Linked DNA regions of Schizosaccharomyces pombe. The protein of the gene in region 1 purifies or fractionates together with the protein of each later gene. This does not show direct contact. Each region holds a gene or a part of one and is shown in the gene's direction. Other genes may lie near its edges. The genes, in order: med13, srb11, med15 and med7.

Region 1 (5,664 bases):
CATAGTCAAATACATGACTGTTTTCGTTTTGTAATCTTCATTTTCGCCCGGGTAAGGATTAGAAAACGTTATTAAAGGGAAGCGGGAGAAAATGGAATGAAAATAACTCGAAAATTTTGTTAGACCGCCCATCCTTTTCACTTGTCACTAAGTTTGCTAATTCTAAAGAGTTTACACCAATACCATCAATAGTGTGCTTAGCGAAATTGTTAGATTAAGTGGTAAAGCGTGCAATTTCTTCAAATTTCTACCTATATTGTAGTAGGAGAAAATATTCTGTTGTTTCTACTATACCAAGCATTAATTCTGCATACACACTTTTCTATTTTGCGTTGGATTTTCACATCCTCTAATAATCGATAAACTCGACAAAAGATTGTATTTATTTTATTTGACATAAATCATAATATGGATTTGTCTTTATTTTCAGATATCAAGGATGTCGTCGAGAGGGACATGAAAAAAAATTCAAAAGTTGTGGAAAATTCTTCTGCTAGATCACTAAAAAACAAAACAGAGGAAAACAAAACTATTGATAAACATAAAAGTTCCGTTGGTCCTAAGGAACCCAAATCATCATTGGAAAAGCCTAAAGCGAATCGGAAAAGAAAGCAATCGTATGGTTTACTCCATGATATTAAAGAACTCGGAGGTACCGAAGAGGATCTGGAGCTGATTGAAGATGTAGAAAGCGATGAAGAGTTGGAATTCGAAGAACCCAATCGTAAACAACCCAAGAAGGATGGGACTGATGCTGTAAGTCAATATCGATGTTTCTTAATTACTTCTTTCAAAAGGTTCTAATATCCTCTGTTTTAGTTTGCAAATGAGTTGAATTTGTTCGCCAAAAAATTGGGCTTTTCTAAAAACAGCTTTGATGCTCGTGCTCTAGACACTGAGTCAGAAGATGAAACCGAAATCGAAAAAAGTTCGTCTGAAAATTCTGATTCAGTTGATGTCGATTCGGATGATGAGTAAAAAACGCTTGACAACTAGTTTATTTATTTAAAAATTTTCCTTCTTATTATAACTTTATAAGCAATGAGTGTATCTGTTAAAACTGATTGGGGAATCCCAATTTCTCTGTAATCTTCTCGTTCACTTTTCAGATGCCATCACTCATGAGTTGTTTAAACCATCATTCAAGAGGAGTCTTAAGGGAATGTAATGTTTAACTAACATTATACTGAGGGATAGGTTCATACATATTACCTGAAGGAGTTGCAATTGTGTTGGACCTTTATTGCTACACTTTCATTCATTTTAATTATTTGTAAAGTAAGGATAGGAATTTAAGGCGGAGCATTCTTTTTTTATTAAAATAGCGGTCATTACGGGATTAATATAAACATTATATGTCAGTATATATTTCCTTCATCAATTTCGAAGCATTTATGCTTATTTGCATACTAAACCGTTAGTTTAATGTTTGTTTATTTTATTATTAACAGTAAAAGTATCAGGTGTGTTTTAAGAAATATGTTAAAATGAGACAGTGGCCGCATGTGCTTTCTTTACGCGTGTACGCTAGCTACTTCCTCTTATATAATAATCTGCCATTATCCTCTGCCATGGTACATGATGGAGTTCATCTAATTAGTATTAAAACAATTGTAATTATTTCTATTATAACATGATAAATTAAAAGCTAACTGATCAGCCTTGCCCTAACACTATATATTATGCGAAGTATCAGGTTCAGCGAAAGGACAATGAGGATGCTGCTTCCCTCTTAGAAGACAAAGAAGCTTATCTACGAAATCAGGATTGCATTGTTCACGCGAAGAATGACTTACTTTTTGTATATGATTTTCAAGCCATTCCATCTATTCCTGAGGAATCATCTTCTTTTATGCTACTTAATTCAGGTGCATTTTCCAGATTAGCTCTTTTTCAAAAAGATGAATTAGCTCTTCTATTAGACCTGTATATAAACTTTCTTCAAGGATTGAAAAAAACGGTGTTGTATTGGCTGTGCAAAGAATACAACTTTGTTCCAATTTATGGTGTCCTTCTTCCTTTAAAATTACACCCTTCTTTCGATACCCAGCTCTGGAACATATATGGATATCCTGTTGTGGATTTACAGCTTTCTGTCTTATCGAAAGGCCATATAGAATTTTACTTAAAGCCTACAAGGCAGACGGTATATCGTTTGTCGGAAGTGGATAATTTGGTTAAAAAGTTAGACACTGTCATTCGTTTAGCCCCGACTGGTTGTTTGGCAACATTAACCTCTGTGCATGCCAACGCATCTGCTCAAACTGTTGATGCATTGAAACACCGCTATGGATTCTCTCTTACGACTACTTCAAAGTGGGTGGGTGTTACCTTAGAATCTTCGGCATTAGAATTTTCCTGGCCTTTAGAACTTTGCTTTTTGGAAACGTCGGCCCTTCGAATGAATGATGATTCATTATCTAGCAACCTTACAGATTTGAATAACCTAGTCCTCCCTTCAAACGTCGTAAACAATAAAAAGGAATTAACTGAGTTCGCAAATGAAGAAGCGGAAGCTTCAGATAAAAGAAAAGAAGGTTTTACAGAAAAGGAAGAGACTGCTGATGCCGTTGTAACCTTGGTTCCTTCTCATAGTTCTTCTCCCGTTAATTATTCGATAAATTCTGCAAAATCTACACCTGCTTCAATAAAAGTAAATGAAGAGATACTTGTTGCTGATCATAATGTTTCAGATGACATACTAATGGAGGAAATAGACGATGTTGGAATAACAGAGGCTGATTTTGATTACTTTGACTTACCTAACGTTGAAGAAAAAGTTGAGATGATTGAGCCTAATTTTGCAAATACTATGACAACCTTAGATAATGAGGAAATCAACACTTCCATCTCTCAATCAAACACCAGTCCAAATTTGAATACTCACGAAAATATTCCAAAGCAAATGGAAATTCAATCGGATGATAGAATGGTAACCGAAGATTTAAATCCATACAACGTCGAAGTTGATATTCCTGAAATTTCTTTAAATATTTCAGATTCTAAAATCCCTACATCTGCGTATATGCCTTCATACTATTCTGCGGTAATTTTTCCCTCGTCTATCTCCAGTATTTTTCAGAAGTATAACTATGGTGGTAAATATTGGTGCCCTTCTCCTTCTTTGTCAACTGAAGATTTATTTGAATCATTTTCGGTCGCTGAATCGGTAACTAGTACAGATGAAGACATCTGCTCTACAAACTTTATACAACAAGATTTTACAATGGAGTATAATCACGATTTTTTTTCATCTTCTAAAACACCCACTAATATCTCAGAACAAAGTAACCCCGATTCAAATTATGATACGCTATCGTTAGCACATCAGGTTCTTATGAATGAATCCAAGTCAGCAAATTTTGATTTCAGTTTTTTAAAATCGTTAGATTTACAACCCACTATTACCTTGGGAAAAAATGACTTGTTAAACGCTATTTTGTCTCAAAACTTATGGTTTAGATCGTTACCTTTTTGGAAAAGCATGACTACCAGTTTCATGATGTCTCAAGATGTTTTAAACTTTTCTTCGTACATGCGGAAGCCTATTAGGGATTATTTAGAGAAAATATTGTTAGGTGAAAGTTCGGCTGTTTTCTTGAGCAAAAGCCCAGAAAATTATCTGTCCTCGATTAATAACGGGCATCACGCATTAAATGACAATCCTCCATCCCAAGTTAACTTTTCTGAAACGTTGGTAAACTTCTCCCAACCTCCTCGTGTTTTGCTCAAATACAACGAAAAAAAGTTGTCTTTAGATTCTTCGGCACCAGAGAATTGGATATCTTTATGTCTTCAACCGTATGGTGAGAGCAAAGATTTTGAAGTTTTTTTGCTCTCTTCCAAATCTCCCGACGTAAGCAGCAAGGCTATCAGCTTTTTTTATGATGTTCAGCTGGCTTATGAAAACTGCAAACTTGGAAAACTGAATTTATCTGAAACTTCTATTAACGAAAGAGTGATGGGATTCAGTACAAATATTAATGAAACAGATAATTATGATGATAATGAAACAACTCAAAGCGATACAGCAACCTCTTATGAACAACTAGCGAGTGTTTGTGTTAATGAATTAAGCGGAAAAAACGTACTTTTTTTTTATTTTTTAGAAGATGATTCCGAAAAACTTTTAAAGGCTTGTCAACATTTTATATGCGTAAAGGACTCAATCAAGAGACTTGGGGATAATAAATTTGAAGATAAATCATTACGAATATGCACGATTCCGAATTCTATTTTTGATTCACCCAACTCGCATACTACAAATTCGAACTCTTTTTTTACAAAAGTTTCACTCGACATTTATAATAATGATCCTTTATTGATGGATGGTTCATTAAAGAGACGTGAACCGGCTTTTCTCCTGAAAAAGCCCTTGTTATCAACTCTTAACTATCAGCTTAAAGATATTAATCCCAGATCTTCAGCTTTGGGAGAGTATGCGCTACATGTAACGTATACAACTGTCGAAGAGCACTTGCTTATTTGCAATTGGAATGATTCCTATGGAGAATTTGAAACTGAGAGACGCTATTTTCTCCAAGACCTTGAAATTGAAGATGCTTTACAGCAAATTTTAGAAGTCACATTTACGTTCCTTAACTCAATGCACATGGATTGGATAGTAATCGTCATGAAGATTGGTGAGATGTCTGACGCAGAGTATCTGTTTTGGGATCAAGCAATAATACCTGAAAACTTACAAGGCAATGTTTCTCTTACAGTTGGTTACTGCTCAGCAGAGCACGGACCTGGCTCAACTTCGAAAGTGTTTTCAAGGATTCCATATTCGGCTTCAAGCACAGTTATTCGTAATAATAGTAGTCATGAGCTCTCTTTGGTTGCGTTTATCCGAGAAATGGCAATGCCTGTGCCGAACGATGAATTTAAGAAAATTTCTACAATCTTAGCTAGAGGATACTTAGCATTAGACGAGGACGAATCTTATTTACCACTGTTAAGCATTCATCTTTTGATATCTCGAAATCATGATCCTTATTTAATGTTAAATCTTATTTTAAAACATTATTTAAGTATGATTTATTTACAGTTTCGAACGTATGTTTCTTTTTCTTCACTCCCATTACACATTTCTACCGTTTTATACCAGAAGCAACTATTGCAGTTTATGGCATCAGACATTACACATCCTGTGACCTCTTAGTTTTTGGGGTATTATTAATTTATACAGTATAAGTTTATAATGCGCTTGTGCCAAAATTGGTTTACTCTTGTTATCGTTTTTGTTTACTAGATTGGGAAGGTTGACATAGTGAAAACACAGTGTTTGTTTACTGTCGACTATTTCATATTCCGCCATTTTTAACCATGAAATTAGCCAACGCAAAACATAATGAAGAAACATAAGTCCTCAATTAAGTGTTTTAAGATTGACCAAATATCTCAACAACCTGAAACCGATTTGGTTTTTACTAAAAGGTCGGAATGCAAAGTAAAAGATGAGCTATTTTCAGATAAGGAAAACTCAATCTTATGTAAACAGTTGAAGGAATTAGATTTAGTTGTTTCTTCAAACAAAGAGTTTCTAAACGAAAAGACATCGGATCAAATTTCGTTTTTGAAACCAAGAGAAACAGTAGTTGAAAAAAAATTAGCAAATGGGAGTATTTGGCCTAATGAAACTTCCCATTTAGATAAATCTAG
Region 2 (4,117 bases), on another chromosome or scaffold:
TTAACAATATTGTAGAATTTCAACAAATGAGCCATTCACAGATGCTTACGTTGAATACATGAGAGCTTCGCTCATCCAATTACTCAATATAACAAATGGACTTCCTCTTATTGAACAAGGTATAAACAGTATTATTTTCTAAAAAAATATTCTATTACTAAATTCAATTCTAATAATACTGAAATTAGAATGCACTTGGACGCTTCGGGTAACGCTAAAAGATGGTTTTCCCAGACCAAAACAATGGGAAGAGTGGTTTCTTCCGCCGCAAGCGAGAGAAACAGACGCAACAAGGCAATTTAAGGGCATCACCATTCCTGTTCGAAATGTGGATATTGGACCAATGATGACGGAAATTTGGGTCGAGAAATATACAAATTCGGATTAGAGGTATCTCTAATTTTCTTTTCAGAATGTAGTGCAAGAAAAATGGGTATCTGCTATGAAATAAGAGGGGATTAGGTAAAGTAAATAAAGAATCAGTTTTGCGATAAAGGATTATCATTATCAATGAAAGAATTATTAATTTTGAAGTAAAGGTCCCTACCAATAAGAATTATAAATAGTTAGAAAATGTGCCTTACTCTAGGCCCAACCATTTTTTGCAATTCTCATATACCAGATATGAAATAGCGACACTAGGTGCTACCTTCAACAAATTAGGAGACAATCCTTTATAAAGCCCACGGAAACCTTCATTTTTTGTAGTTTTGTAAAAGCAGTCTATAAATCCATCGTATGTTGCAGGATGTGCAGACGTACCTTGCGTTTGTAAACGAGTACGTATGACATTAAGTGGAAACACTATGGTAGCGCCAGTGCTTCCAGAAAGTGCTCCAAATGCCATCACTAAACCATTAGGAAGTTTCACATCTTGTGGATCGACATTGTCACGACTTGCTAAGATACCTATCCATGTCCTCTTAAGGCCCTCAAATGTTCCCAAATCTGTTGCACTGTATGGAAACATACCCAGTATGCCCACGAGCACGCCTCTGTAATAACCCCGTATCCCAACGCTTTTATAAAGTTCCTTTGCGTTGGACAAAATAATGCTTTTTCCATGCTGACCACGAGATAAATCGCTGCACTGAATGCGAAATTTCAGAGTATCTACCGGATATATAAACATTTGAGCAACTGAACCAGCCATGCCACCGGCTAAGTAAGAATAAAGAGGACTATGATTTTCAGAGCTTGAAGATATTCCAAGTACTCGTTTCATCGCTTCATATGTACCAAATTTTATGGAGGATTCAGGCATCACCTTTAAAACATTAATGCCATTTCCCACAAAGAAGCTACGTATCCCATTACGGTTCCATAAAACTTTAGTGGTATGTAGCAAAGTAGCAAAAGGATACTTCGGGGAAGGTTTAGAACCAGTGTCTGAAATCAACATGACTTTTAGCCGATCTAATGGCGCTGTACAGGTACGAGAGACGATTCCAGCAATCCCTCCGCTAATGAAATAACCAACGTTATTTTTAGGGTCATTCTCTAGTAACAGATCACCGTCAGGTAAATTCTGTAAACGATGAAAGACGAGTTTCATATGCGGAGTATCATGAATCCAACTTGCAGGAATTATTGAATCATGTTGATGATGCGGATGTGGGTGCAATTTCCAATAGCCATGTCGAAATTGATGCTCAAATTTCTGTTTATGAATGAAGTTTAAATTATCTAAAGCAGTTTTCTAATGGTTAAAGAAAATCCTTTTACATTAAACATACCAATTCCGGACCTTGAAGAAGAGATTGGCAATTTATTTCTTCTTTTGGGGAAAAAACAAATCGCGATTCTGGAAGCCTTGAAACCCGTAAATTATTTTTAAACAAACTATAATCACATGGAAGTACGCTTTGTATAGTGATATCAGATAATTCAGTTGGCATCCTTCATGCCGGTAATGAGTGTACCGGGGTAAAGAGAAATAGGTGAGTCCTCACAGGTCAATGTATCTGACCATACCAGCAGCCCATGAAAATTTATCGTAAATAGTAAAATCTGTGACACTGTTTTTTATTATCTCTTATGATATTTAAGGGTCAATCAGCTTAAAATATCGTGTGATATATGGCAGCAAATTACTGGGCCTCTAGTCAATTGTAAGGTTATCAATTTTAATTTTAAAGGTTTTACGAGAAGGTAATTGGCCTTTAATTCATTCCTATTCTTCTTTAAAATGTCTTAATTGAGTTTTGAATATCTGCTTTTCTATTTTATTACTGCTGAACATATTCTTGACAAATTGAGGCTTGCGAGTGAGCTGATCTACGTCTAATTACTGATCAGAGGAATAGCTTTTCTGTCTACTTCTAGTCACGAGTATCGACTAAACTGGATGTATCTTGTTTGAGTCATTTTGCGCAAATGTCTTGCAATCACAGTTTATTTCGGCTTCTCATTCGTTTCGTTGACTTTAATTTAAAGCGATTTTAGCCTCTTTGTTAGTTTTTGTTTAAAATATCTTCGAACCTTTATTATTCCTTAGTATACTTTTTCAAGCTGACCTTACAGAACACAATTATTCTTATCCACAGATTTGGAATCTTTGGAACCAACTTGCTTATCTAAAGATACAATATATCAATGGAAAGGTATATTTTCATTAATTTTTTTCGGCTTATTCTAGCTTGTGATTTCATTTACACTTCGTTTTGCTGATACAATTCTAGTTGTACAAACGTTTGGAGACAGGCTCAGGCTTCGGCAGCGTGTCTTAGCTACAGCCATCGTTTTATTAAGGCGTTACATGCTAAAAAAAAATGAGGAAAAGGGTTTTTCTTTGGAGGCGCTAGTGGCTACATGCATTTATTTATCATGCAAAGTGGAAGAATGCCCTGTTCACATTCGCACAATTTGCAATGAGGCTAATGATCTCTGGAGCCTAAAAGTTAAACTTAGTCGTTCTAATATTTCCGAAATAGAATTTGAAATCATTTCAGTCCTTGATGCATTTCTCATTGTTCACCATCCCTACACTTCTCTTGAGCAAGCATTTCATGATGGCATTATCAATCAAAAGCAGCTTGAGTTTGCTTGGTATGTATACTTCTTATATTGAAAATCACAGTCGATTAGATTTTTCTAACGATCGAGGAAATAGGAGCATTGTTAACGATTCATATGCCAGCAGTTTATGTTTAATGGCACATCCTCATCAACTTGCGTATGCCGCTTTATTAATAAGTTGTTGCAATGATGAAAATACAATTCCTAAGCTTTTGGATTTAATAAAGAGTACTGATGCCTTCAAAGTTATATTATGTGTTCAACGCATAATTTCTATTTATTATTTTGAGGATATTGAATAACTTCTTGAATACACTATACATTTAGAGCCTCAAATTTTGTTAAAAACGAAAACTATAATTAGATTTTTCTTTATTGCTGATTAATGCCTGAAATTATGTTTTGTTGTCTGGTTTAAAACCGTGTATTATATACGCATTCTCGTTCATGGTGTTATGTCTAAATGAATAAATAGAGCAGTATCTGTGTAATAATATCCAAAATCGAATGGTTATGTCACAAACGTAAAGGATATATTAATGCTTTATCTATGAACCTCAAAAATTATTCCTTAATCACCTCATAGAAATACTCACGTTGTTATAAAATAGCTCATTCTTGTAGCTTCCTGTGTTAATTGAGTTGAACATTCCCCTATTAGGTATTTCTGAAAGGATATTTTTGATTTCAGCAAATTTGGTCCGGCAATTATATAATGAAATTCATAAAGTAAAAACCCTTAAATCTTAAATCTTAAATAAAATAAGCCGTGTCAAGTTTTTAAAACCTAGTTTTGACATAATACAGTGCAATCAACAAATTGAATCGAGAAAGTAAATCAAGCAATTTACGAATGGGGACACCAATATCCCATATTCTATTCTTGATATTTTGCCAACAAAGAAGATAAAGTTTTCACATCAGCGCCGACGATTCTGTCCAATTCTTGACCCTTACGAAACAATACCATGGTAGGCAAGGCATAAACACCGTTCTTTTGAGCAATATCAGAAAATTTATCTGCATTAACAGCAATAAAAGATGCTTTCTGATTTTGTTCGCTTAATTTTTCAAGAAACGGTTTGAGGTATTTGCAAGG
Region 3 (5,919 bases), on another chromosome or scaffold:
AGCTCAATGGCAAAAGGATATTTTTTGGTTCCGATCCAGTTTGTATCAGCTTTGCTAAAGTTGCTTCATCTTCTTCTGAGTCTTCCCACTCTGCCGTTGACGGCTTAAATAAAGCCTTTTCGAACGTCTCGTTCGTCCCCTCTTTACGTGAGGTTTACGACGATTTGATTAACGTTGTTCAGTCATTCGGATTTAAGGATTTATCTAAAATCTATCAGATTCTTAACGCTGCTTGTGAATTGACTGACTTTGCTGCTCAGATTCCGTCTATTTCAAAAGCGTTCAGCAGTCGTCGATTAAATGCACCCAAACTTCGTCAAGTTCGTAAGCGTATTGATAATGGTCTTTGCACTCAGGAAGAAGTTGAAGACATTGCCATTAATTGGCTTGATGAAGTATCAGACTTATCGAGCGATCATCTTGGTAACACCGTTGTACAAAAGCTATTCGATTATTGTTCAGACCCCGTAAAGGAAATGATGCTTGAACGCATCGCTCCTCATTTGGCCCAAATTGGTATTCACAAAAACGGTACATGGGCTGCTCAAAAGATTGTTGACGTGGCATCAACTGAGGCACAAATGCGCCTTATTGCTAAACACTTGCAGCCCTACATTCCACTACTTTTTGCTGATCAATTTGGCAACTATGTTGTGCAAACATGCTTGAAATTTGGTGCTCCAATGAACGATTTTGTTTTTGAAGCCATTCTCAACCAGTTTTGGGTAATTGCTCAAAGCCGTTATGGATCACGTGCCGTCCGCGCCTGTTTAGAGAGTCCTGATGTGACTGAAGAACAACGTGTACTTGTTGCTGCTGCTATAACAGTCTATTCCGTACACTTAGCTATGAACGGTAATGGTACGCTACTGTTAACTTATCTTGTTGAAAATATGAACTATCCTCATATTCCTATTCTTTTAACCCGGAGATTTGTTCAAGACATTGTTAGAGTTTGCACTCATCGACTAGCTTATAATTCCCTTCTTAAAATAATTTCCATATCACAAGGTGATACTGCTTGTGGTGATTTAGTCGTTGATGCTATTTTGGATACGCAAAATGATCTCAATCCAAACTCTTTAGAGAAAATACTTTTCGAACAAACTTATGGTCCGTCTTTTATTTGCAAACTCTTGACTCACGAAAATATATCAGCCTCGCATCGACAACAGTTACAAAGTGCTGTTCGAAACGTATTGGGCACTATGGAGGATCGCGGATCCTCTGAATTAAAAAAGCTGGCTGAGGTATGTGCGTAAATAACTGCATTATCGAACATTTATGAGAAAAAAATTTTGGTTTTCTTCATGGCAAGCAAGGATTCAACTATTTTTGATATATATTCAACAGTTTATATCTTTTATTTAGAGCCAGGAAGTTAGCATTATGATGATTATAATAACGTTTACAACTATCGCTTAGAAAAGGAGAGTTTTTCGCTCCCCAGTAATCTAAGAGCAAAAACCATTTGTTTCTGTTGATATCTATTTTCAGTCCAGTTTATTGTTTTTATTATTAATGAAACGTTACGCCTTTAAACTATACTTGAAAAGTTATTTTGGTGGTTTAATATCCTCTACACTTACATTTAGCTATTATATAATATATATTAACGAAATTGTGGTACACAAATATTGAAGTAGGATAAGGTTAAAGACTGGCATAATCTACCAGCCTCTGATAAACAAGTATGCTGTTGCTTTAGATTATTTCTATCTTAGATTTATACTAAATAATGAATTTTAACGTGTTCTCATGTATCAGCGACCGTGATTTAGCTTATCATCGATAGCTGTGAGCAAACCACTGTATTGGTTACCTTGTGACGATCAGCGCTGATATATGGTGTACGGTAACTTAAGTTCGTCTTCCACCGACCATCAGCGTTGCAATAAATATATTTGCAAAATTATCAGAAATAACTGGTACGCTTTTTAGTAATGTACAATAATTCACTAACGTCTTATAGATCATATATTTGGAGGGATGAACCGGAATGTTGATAAGGGATGGCAAGCACAAATTCGTCCTAATGAGAGACAGAGCATTGCCTTGCAAATGTATGCCATCATTTTTTAAAACCCTTCATCTAACTTTTGTATTTAGTGCTCAAACTTTACGAATTATCTCTCCCTCAATTTCCGAAGTCCAACTCATGAATATGGCTTTGTCATTTGAGCGTCAGGCTTTTGATGGTGCCAGTAGCAAGGTATTGAAAAAAAAAATTCAATTAATTTTGTACTTACCAGTAATAGAATGAATACTTAACTACATGTGGCAAGAAGACAGCACAATTGAGAGATCAAATACGTGACACATTGCAGGCAACCCAAATGAAACAAATGCCTTCTGTGTATAACAATGCGGGTAATGTTGGAGCTCTCCCTACTGCCGGACCTAACAGGTTGGCAAATAATCCCAGAGTAATGCCGAGACTTCAAAACCAAAATGTTCCAATGCAAGCAGGAATGCAACAGTTTGCTAGAAATATGAAGTTGACCCCACAACAAAGGCAATTTTTACTTCAACAATCTCAAATCCAGCAACAAAGGCAGCAGCAACAGCAGCAGTCGCAACAACCTCAACAAACACAACAACCGCAAGCTTCATCACCAACAGCTCCCAATACAGAAGCAAACCAACAAAGATCTGGTAGTGTTCCTGGTCGAATAGTTCCTGCATTGACCCAACAACAGTTAAATAATTTATGTAATCAAATTACAGCTTTGCTTGCAAGGAATGGCAATCCACCAATTCCTATGCAAAAATTACAATCGATGCCACCTGCGAGACTTATTTCAATATATCAAAACCAGATTCAAAAATTTCGTTCATTGCAGCATATGCAGCAACAACAGCAGCAACAACAACAACAACAACAACAACAACAACAACAACAACAACAACAACAACAACAACAACAACAACAACAACAACAACAACAAAAGCAAGCTCCGCAAAATGCTTTTTTTCCAAACCCTCAAGGTAACGTTGGTGCCCAGTCTCTTCAAAGTATGTCTCCACAAGACCAACCTTCTACTCAGCAACAGCAACCTCAGCGAACTGCTGCTCCTCCAAATAATCCTAATGTGAATGCTACGAATAATAACCGTATAAATATTGAGATGCTAAATATCCCGGTTCCTAAGCAATTGTTCGATCAAATTCCTAATTTACCTCCAAATGTCAAAATATGGAGAGATGTGTTAGAATTAGGACAATCTCAGCGTTTACCTCCGGAACAATTGAAGCTAATAGGTATGCTATATAGAAAGCACCTACAAATTATTTTGCAGCACCGACAGCAACAGCTTAATAAAATACAGAATGCTCGAATGAACTCGCAAAATGCCCCTAATACCAATAAACTGGGGAATCCACAACCTGATAATACGGGCAACCCCCAAGCGTTCTCGCAGCAAGCATTTGCTCAGCAACAGCAACAACAACAACAGCAGTTGCACCGTACTTCTAATCCTACAAGTGCTTCTGTTACTTCACAAAATGGCCAACAACCGATCAATACAAAGCTTTCAGCTAATGCCGCCAAAACTAATTATCAAAGCTATTTGACAAATAAGGCTCGCAACGCTACTCAACCCACTCAGCCGCCTGTATCTCAGGTCGACTATTCAAATAATCTACCTCCTAATCTTGATACATCGTCTACATTTAGAAGTTCTGCAAGTCCTCCTTCAGCTTTTACGAAGGCGGGGAATGAAGCACTTTCAGTTCCTCTTAGTGGTGCAAGAAACACCGCTGCTTCAAGGCCTACAAACTTAGCGGCTGGAAATAGTAGTGCTTCTATCGTTCAGCAACTGCTTGAGTGTGGAGGAACTATGGGACAACAAAAGATGACTTCGCGTATTCGAGAACTCACCGAAAGAGTAATGCATAGTTTGATGCGGCCAGTGCCTCTTGATTTGCCTCATGATCAAAAGGTTATGATTGCGAGTCTTATCAAATCTGCATATCCTATGTTTAGCCGTACAAATCAACTGATTTGCCTGTTTTACTGTTTGACAGGCAATGAGGAAGCCACGATTCAATTGATACAAATGCGTCATATATTTAAATTACAACTTGAAGGTCTTCAGCAAGGTGTTTTTACTTGTGCTCCGCAAACATTGGCCAAGATTAAGGAGAAAACCAGTCGCTATTTTGCCTTTGTGAAAGCTCAACTGTTAAGACTTCACCATGAAGTAAATAACAATAATATGAGTATTCAAAATGCTCTTGCCCATATCTCCTCGCTCCGTACTGCATCTATTAATCAACAGCAGCAGCCACAGCCACAGTCACAGCAGCAACAACAGGCTTCCCAGTTTCCTCAAGCTCCTTCTGTATCATCCAATGTACGTCCTATCAATGGATCAATTCCTAATGCGCAACCCAGTGTTCCTGGGCAAGCCCAACCTGCAGCCAAAGCAAATTCTGTTGGTAACACATCTTTTCCTGTTGACAGTAAACTTGCATTCCAATCCTTGGATGTATCTCAGCCGGATTTGCAAGCCAAACAGAAGATTGCATCACAAGTCATGAAACATGGTTTAAAACCAGAAGATCTCAAGTTACCGCCTTCTAAGAAGAAAAAGATAGAAAACTTATCGACAGTTCAAAAACCTAAGGATTCAGTCGTAAATACTCCTGATGTTATAATGTCAAGTGTAGATGAAATACCTTCTAGTGTTTCTCCAGGTACTATAGCCAAAGAGGAAGGAATGGCTAAAGCTCGGGAAGAAGCAATTGCTAATCCTTTGAAGTACGCAATCGATGCATTTGTGGCTGTAGACCATGAAGAAGAAGTTTCTGCTATCAAATCATCACAGACTCCTAGTTCTATTTTGAAAACACCTCAGTCGTTTTTCATTCCTCCGTCAACTCCAGATTTATCATTTACAGATAACAAAAACTCACTTAGTCCATCTAATATTTTGTCATTGGACGGAAAATTTTCATTTAATGATGATTCGGAGCTTTGGGCTGATTTAGGTAATGAAATCAACTCTGAAATCGGATTTTTAAAGGAACCAGATACCATGAATCTTGCTTTGGATGCAGATAAAGATAAGACTAAAATGCAAAATAAGCTTACTCAAATTAATTTTGATGAATCATGTTTTCTAGATCCAGCGATCGACGATAAAGATCCATGGAATGAAATGCTTCATGAAAAGAAAGTTTTGCTAAAGCAGCTTCAAGTGGGTAACGAAGATGAAGACAACATCGCATTTCCAACATCTACAAACATATGGCAAGTTGTGATTTAAAATTTTGTGATACGATGGTTCGCAATTGTTTTTTATTTATTTATTGCACGTCGTCTCAAAAAGCAAATTGGACATATTTGTCCTTCTACAATATCTTATGAATACCATAGACATATATTGTTTCTCTGTTTATTCAACGTTTCTCCATTTTTTGAAAGCATCTGTTATGTTGAAAATTGTGATTGGGAAAAGGTTTGTATAGTCCTTGTGTTTATATACAATGATAAAAATAGAACCTGAATTTAATATTTTGAAGATCCGGTTGTACCTTTATTAGGCACAATGCCAGAAAGTATGGCTTTTTCCCGATTAATGACCTGTCTATGAGACTCATTGTGAACATGAAAATGTCGGTATAATGAGGACCGTTACAAATTTTATTTATTCATACGTTTAAGTTGATTTTAGTTAATTTATTATTAGTGCACCGGTTGGTGTTGAAAATTAATTTGTAATCTCTTAAATGAATATTTGTATAGTTTTTAATGTTTACTATCTCAAATATTCTAAAAGTAGCTATCAGTTTATGTTTTTGCTTTGGTTCAAGAGCTTTGGTTTAACCTAACCGCCAAATAGCTATCTCGAATTACCATCTAACATGAGAAAACAAATTAATATTTCAAAACTCCCGATAATTTATTGAGCT
Region 4 (5,519 bases), on another chromosome or scaffold:
TTTACTCTATTTCTTTTCCAATGTATGCAATTCACGCGTCTGTTAAGTTTCTGAAACTTGACTATTTACGAAGCCTTATGAATAAACTAAATTTAAAAATTGTTATGAGGAGCTTAGTAATGGCGTTAAAATATCTTTTATTAGCATTCCTTGGAATATTTATCTTACCACTCTTACTTGGAGCTATATGGGAATTATACGTCGCTATACCTTTCCGAACGATATTTAACAGAGGGACTCTTGCTCTCGATGCATTCCAAAACTGGGTGATTGGTCTTTTTATGCTTCGTATGATATATTTTACTGTGACTTCTAATGAAGAGCGTTTCGTTTCAAGGTTGTTTCAAGATGCTTTTCGTGATAGATGGACGAATCCTCAAATTCTTCCATTATTAAAAAATGTTCTCATCCCTTTTACATCAGCCTTAATAGCCGCCGTTGTGTTGCCAAGTGTTTTTACTTACGTAACCTATCCTTTTCTTTCATCCATTTTCCCTTCTGCATCTAAAACCCTTATGTATCGGTTGATGCATCCTATATTTTTAGCATTACTTGGGCTAGCACTCTTGGGGCGCCGTTTTGTAGAAACTAGTAGTAAATGGTCGCAAGGAATACGTGATGATTTATACTTAGTTGGTACGAGACTGCACAACTTTGGCGAATCTGCTCCTCCAGCCATTTCTGAGTCTGCCGAAAAATAAAAGTCTAGTCATCTACTATTTTTCAGATTATCCTTCTCTTTGGAAAACTGGAGCGAGGACATCTGAAGTAATATAGAGCATTGTGAATGTATATTATTTGAATGATGTTTTTGTTTTAATTGCTACGAAACTGTTAGTTTAGTTGCAGGAAATTACAAAAAGTCATCGTTTGAACAATTGGTTTGTTATTGTTATATTGCCAGGCATCTTATCCAATTTATCGTAACTGGTATTATCATGATATGGTGCTATTTATTTAATTTTCTTTACAAAATTGAACAAATATCAATTATCGTTGAATTTCTTTGATGTATCTGATGACTGTATCAAACCGTAGCAGCGAAAATTTGCAGACAATCACTAGCAATGGATAAATTAGTTAATTACTAAAAAGAAACAGTTATAACAAATATGTTTACTACGGTTATGTGACAAATTTATGAAAATGTAAAAGTTCGTAGTATTGCATGTGTTGATTTTGTAATCCATTCAATACTAACTAATCCTTCGTATAGAGGAATATCAAAATACTTTATCACTTAATCAATTTAAATTTTACGATTATGTTGGCCTAGTAAAATATTCATGTTAAGGATTTTATGGCATTCAACAATAGCGATAAGCTGTAATATTACAAGTAATAAACTCCTACTTAATTCGTTTCCAAGCCCATTTATTAAAAAGAATAATTCAGTGTTGTTAAAAGAAACACTGCAATTCTCTAAAAATTAAAAAAGCCAAGAAGTGTATAATTTTAAGCTACTTTAATCAGTGAAACTAATTTAAAACCAAGAATGATTAAAGATATCGAAATAAACAATTTATAGCAAAATTTATTGGTGATAGAAGCTTTCACTTCGTATTCCATATGCCAGATAAAACTACCCACTTTTACTGACTATTCCAAAATCCATTTTGAGCAAAAGATCGGTTATTTTCAAGTGTTTTTATATTCAGGATTTTCATGTCAATCAGTTATTGAGCGTCATATCGTTGTTCAATTACGGTTTTCTTAACATTATAGAAACTGCTTTTCTAAAAAAAAAAAGAAAAAAAAAGAGCAGGCATTTTTATACTAAGAATCAGCGATAAAAGGGAAGACAGTTACATCAATCTAAAATCTAGTTTACGATAAATACTATTTAACTAAAAGAGAATGGAACCAAACGAAGGAGTACAACTGTTTTCGGCTTTTCCGCCTCCACCTCCATATTATAAGTTATTTACAAGAGAAAACATAGAAAAAGTAATTTCAAATATGGAGAAAGAAGCAAAACATGAGGATGACGCGAATACTTTACAACCTAAGACTGAAGAAGAAATAGAGTCGCTGGCCAAGCTGTTTAAGAAGCCGTCATGTCTCACATCTGGGACTTATCAAATGTTTGGTGACACATGGAGGGTAAGTTTATTTTTATTGTTTTACATTAGCTGCTTTTCATCTCTCACTAACTTATATCGCTTATAGCTAGACGAAGCTATACCTTCACTCAAAGAATTTGGAATCCCTGAATTATATAAAGATATAAAAGATGGAGAAGATGAAATTGAAGTGGTAGAATATGATCCTAAATCCAATGCGATAGTTGGTACTAGTTTTACTCGTGTACACGATTATGATAAAAATTCACCAATTGAAAATGAAAAAATTCTGGAGGATGATCAACATACGGCCATGAAAGAAAAAGATAATGAATCTGATAAGACAATGAAAGATGTCGAGGAAAAGACTGAGCCCTCTCTTAAAAAGGAAGAGGAGGATATACAAATGAAGGAACCTTTAGATTCTCAAGATACTGGAGCTGTTTCAGCTTCTTCGGTAAACGAAGGTTTCCGGGCAGATCAAAAATCAAAGGATGGAGAAACGAGTGATTTGATAAAAATTCCCCGGCGAGCTTATGAACTACGATTTTTATCCCGCTCACTTATGCTTAACTTTCTTGAACTCCTAGGGATTATGGCGAAGGCACCCGAACAGTTTCCTTCTAAGGTTGAAAACATTAGGGTGTTGCTGCTCAATCTCCATCATTTAATTAATGACTATCGTCCACACCAATCTCGTGAATCTTTAATTATGCTTTTAGAAAAACAATTAAAACATGAAGAGTCGCAGGTTGAGCTATTACGTACTCATAACCGGCAAATGACCGAAACTTTGGAAAAGTACAAATCATTAGATTTTAATATGGAGAAGGAAGGAGATGTGATTCAACAATTAAAGTCGTCAATAAAAAAGCCATTGTCAGGCGCTGAAGATGAGCAAAAGTCTAGGTCTATGTTCTCAAAAAATGACGAGAAATTAAAAAAATCGCTTGAATTAATGGAAGACGTGATAAAACGAGATCTTAGCTAATAAACCGGTTTATCTAGTAGAGTTATTTTGCTATTTCCTCTGCTTTTAATATTTGTTTTACAAACAAAAATTCATACTAACGATGAAAAAAATGTATTCTTTCTATTTTAAACAAATCAAAAAAGTTCGTATCCACTACGAAGCAAACCAAAATTTATATTTAAACGGCAAGATCAACCTTTTCCTCAGTGATCATGCTCTTGAAAGGCGCAAGCGCTTGAGAGACGTCCTTATTTACAAAGGATTCAGTCTGCTCGGGAGCACGTCCAACAAAAGTGGATGCATCCAACAAAGAATCTAGCTCATCATAAATAGGAGCAAAATAAGGAGTATTCTTAATACGCTCAATTAAGTCGTTATCCCCTCCCTCTTCCTTGACTACTCGGCCAGCTTGATGAGACAAGACACGAATCTGCTCGTGACACTCATGACGACTAGCACCGTGCTTAGTCATAGCCATGATAATGTTTTCAGTGGCCATGAAGGGCAATTCAGCACGAATGTGTTTTTGAATAACCTTAGGATAAATGACCATACCAGAAATAACGTTCAATAGAATCTTAAGAACGCTATCTGTAAACAAGAAGGCTTCAGGTAACAGAGAACGACGGTTAGAGCTATCATCCAAAGTACGCTCAAACCATTGAACAGAAGCAGTATTAAGAGCATTAGGAATCAAGTTCATAATATAACGAGCTTGAGAACAAATACGTTCACAACGCATTGGATTACGCTTGTAAGCCATAGCAGAACTGCCAATTTGACCAGCCTCAAATGGCTCTTCTACTTCTTTCAAATTAGCAAGGAGACGGATATCAGTTGCAATCTTATGAGCAGTAGCACCGAAAGAAGCTAATGGTTGCAAAACGTCAATATCGATCTTACGATCATAGGTTTGGCCGGTTACAGGATAAACGTTATCAAAACCGGAAAGCTTGGCAACCAATTTATCCAATTCCTCAACCTTGGCATGATCGCCCTCAAAAAGGGCTAAGAAGGAAGCCTGAGTGCCGGTGGTACCCTTGACACCACGGAAACCAATGTCATTTCTAGCTCTTACAAAATTTCTCAAATCCCATAAAAGCTCTTGAATCCAAAGAGTGGCACGCTTACCAACGGTAGTTAATTGAGCTGGTTGATAATGTGTAAACCCAAGAGTAGGAATGTCTTTGTATCGCAAAGACCACTGGCTAAGACGATTGATAACGTTGACTAACTTAGGGATCAAAAGATCCATGGCGCTGCGTAAGAAAATCAAGTCAGCATTATCGGTTACAAAACAGCTAGTAGCACCCAAATGAATAATACCAGAAGCAGCAGGAGCAGCAAGACCATATGTATAGATGTGAGCCATAACATCGTGTCTCTGACGCTTCTCTTCCTTAGCAGCGATTTCAAATTCTGGAGCTGTAATTTTGACATGCGCTTTAAGTTGCTCAATAGCTTCATCAGTAATTTGAGTTAAACCGAGTTGCTTTTCAGCAATGGCGAGATTCAACCACAATTGTCTCCAAGTATTAATACGCATTTCTCTTGAAAAGAGATGAGACATTTCAGCAGAAGCATATCTTGCTGTCAATGGTGTACTATATGAACCATAATCCTCCATATTCGATAATCTTAAGCTCGCCAAAAAATTTCTACCTGTTGTGGTGAATGGACAGTGAGGAACCAACACTAAGTAGTGCTCTACAAATGCTCCACCTTGAGAAGACCATCAGATTTATTATTTTGTAATTTCCATATTAATTAGTTAACGCGCATGAAAAATCAAACGATAATTTATTGTGCCTCCATGCTTCATATGTAGTATTCACCTAACCCACCAAGCAAATCAATTGAAGATCAAGTATAGAGGAGTAAAGGTGCCTTTCCACATATGTTAGCAATATTACAAAAGGGGTTATAAATTTACTTTAACCAATGCCTAAGTAAGAAAAAGACAGAGACCACTTCGTCAATTGAAACTTGTATTCTTAAACTAGTGAATATGAAATGTGAACTAGTAAGAGCAGAAAATTAATTTCTCTATAATGCCAAAATCTACTTCATCAGCAGATAACGAAAACCAAAATTATTTTGGATTATACTATTAAAATATCTTCACAGTGAAAAAGTAATAAACAAAAAACCATCAAGAAAAATAAATATTAAAAGTTGCAAACATCAACTATTAAATAAAGTGTGAAACAAAAAGAGAATTCTTGCTGTATTGGCATGGGTGTTTTTAAATTGGTCAAAGAAATATTCATGACAATCAACCCCAGATATTCTCAGATGCCAAGAATTAAGTGCTCATTTGTATAGGGTAATTAGATGTATTTTGATCGTTTTCGAGATAACCTTTCAGTAAATCAAAGGCTATATTTTATGGCCCATACAAAGGGCGCGCGACTTCAACTACAATTAAAACTCAAGCAATGGTGCAAGCACTTCCAACACGATACCACCAACTTTCTTGAAGT

What was found.
Region 2: the proteins of med13 (region 1) and srb11 purify together in Schizosaccharomyces pombe (affinity purification with western blotting; 2 studies listed by BioGRID, with this or other methods). This does not show direct contact.
Region 3: the proteins of med13 (region 1) and med15 purify together in Schizosaccharomyces pombe (affinity purification with western blotting; one study listed by BioGRID). This does not show direct contact.
Region 4: the proteins of med13 (region 1) and med7 purify together in Schizosaccharomyces pombe (affinity purification with western blotting; 2 studies listed by BioGRID, with this or other methods). This does not show direct contact.

The regions. Positions count from the first base shown.
Region 1 is NC_003424.3:3,094,575-3,100,238, reverse strand, and holds med13 (mediator complex subunit Med13), read left to right. Parts: upstream 1-1,571; coding exon 1,572-1,613; intron 1,614-1,648; coding exon 1,649-5,164; downstream 5,165-5,664. Other genes in the region: mtx2 (metaxin 1), read right to left, coding at 1-132; protein Noc12, read left to right, coding at 409-756, 820-978; protein mug74, read left to right, coding at 5,354-5,664. UniProt on the Schizosaccharomyces pombe protein: Component of the srb8-11 complex. The srb8-11 complex is a regulatory module of the Mediator complex which is itself involved in regulation of basal and activated RNA polymerase II-dependent transcription.
Region 2 is NC_003423.3:2,314,089-2,318,205, forward strand, and holds srb11 (cyclin CycC-like Srb mediator subunit Srb11), read left to right. Parts: upstream 1-1,966; 5' UTR 1,967-2,079; coding exon 2,080-2,111; intron 2,112-2,523; coding exon 2,524-2,603; intron 2,604-2,681; coding exon 2,682-3,048; intron 3,049-3,112; coding exon 3,113-3,320; 3' UTR 3,321-3,566; downstream 3,567-4,117. Other genes in the region: DNA polymerase zeta Rev7, read left to right, coding at 16-119, 189-388; SPOM_SPBC12D12.05C (calcium-binding subfamily carrier protein), read right to left, coding at 581-1,699, 1,737-1,898; thioredoxin Trx2, read right to left, coding at 3,896-4,117.
Region 3 is NC_003423.3:994,808-1,000,726, forward strand, and holds med15 (mediator complex subunit Med15), read left to right. Parts: upstream 1-1,875; 5' UTR 1,876-1,989; coding exon 1,990-2,063; exon of another isoform or gene 2,064-2,109; coding exon 2,110-2,212; exon of another isoform or gene 2,213-2,258; coding exon 2,259-5,273; 3' UTR 5,274-5,368; downstream 5,369-5,919. Other genes in the region: pumilio family RNA-binding protein Puf2, read left to right, coding at 1-1,262.
Region 4 is NC_003423.3:4,170,785-4,176,303, forward strand, and holds med7 (mediator complex subunit Med7), read left to right. Parts: upstream 1-1,575; 5' UTR 1,576-1,857; coding exon 1,858-2,103; exon of another isoform or gene 2,104-2,169; coding exon 2,170-3,054; 3' UTR 3,055-3,214; coding exon of another isoform or gene 3,215-4,663; 3' UTR 4,664-5,004; downstream 5,005-5,519. Other genes in the region: ubiquitin ligase Doa10, read left to right, coding at 1-701; adenylosuccinate lyase Ade8, read right to left, coding at 3,215-4,663; SPOM_SPBC14F5.10C (ubiquitin-protein ligase E3), read right to left, coding at 5,468-5,519.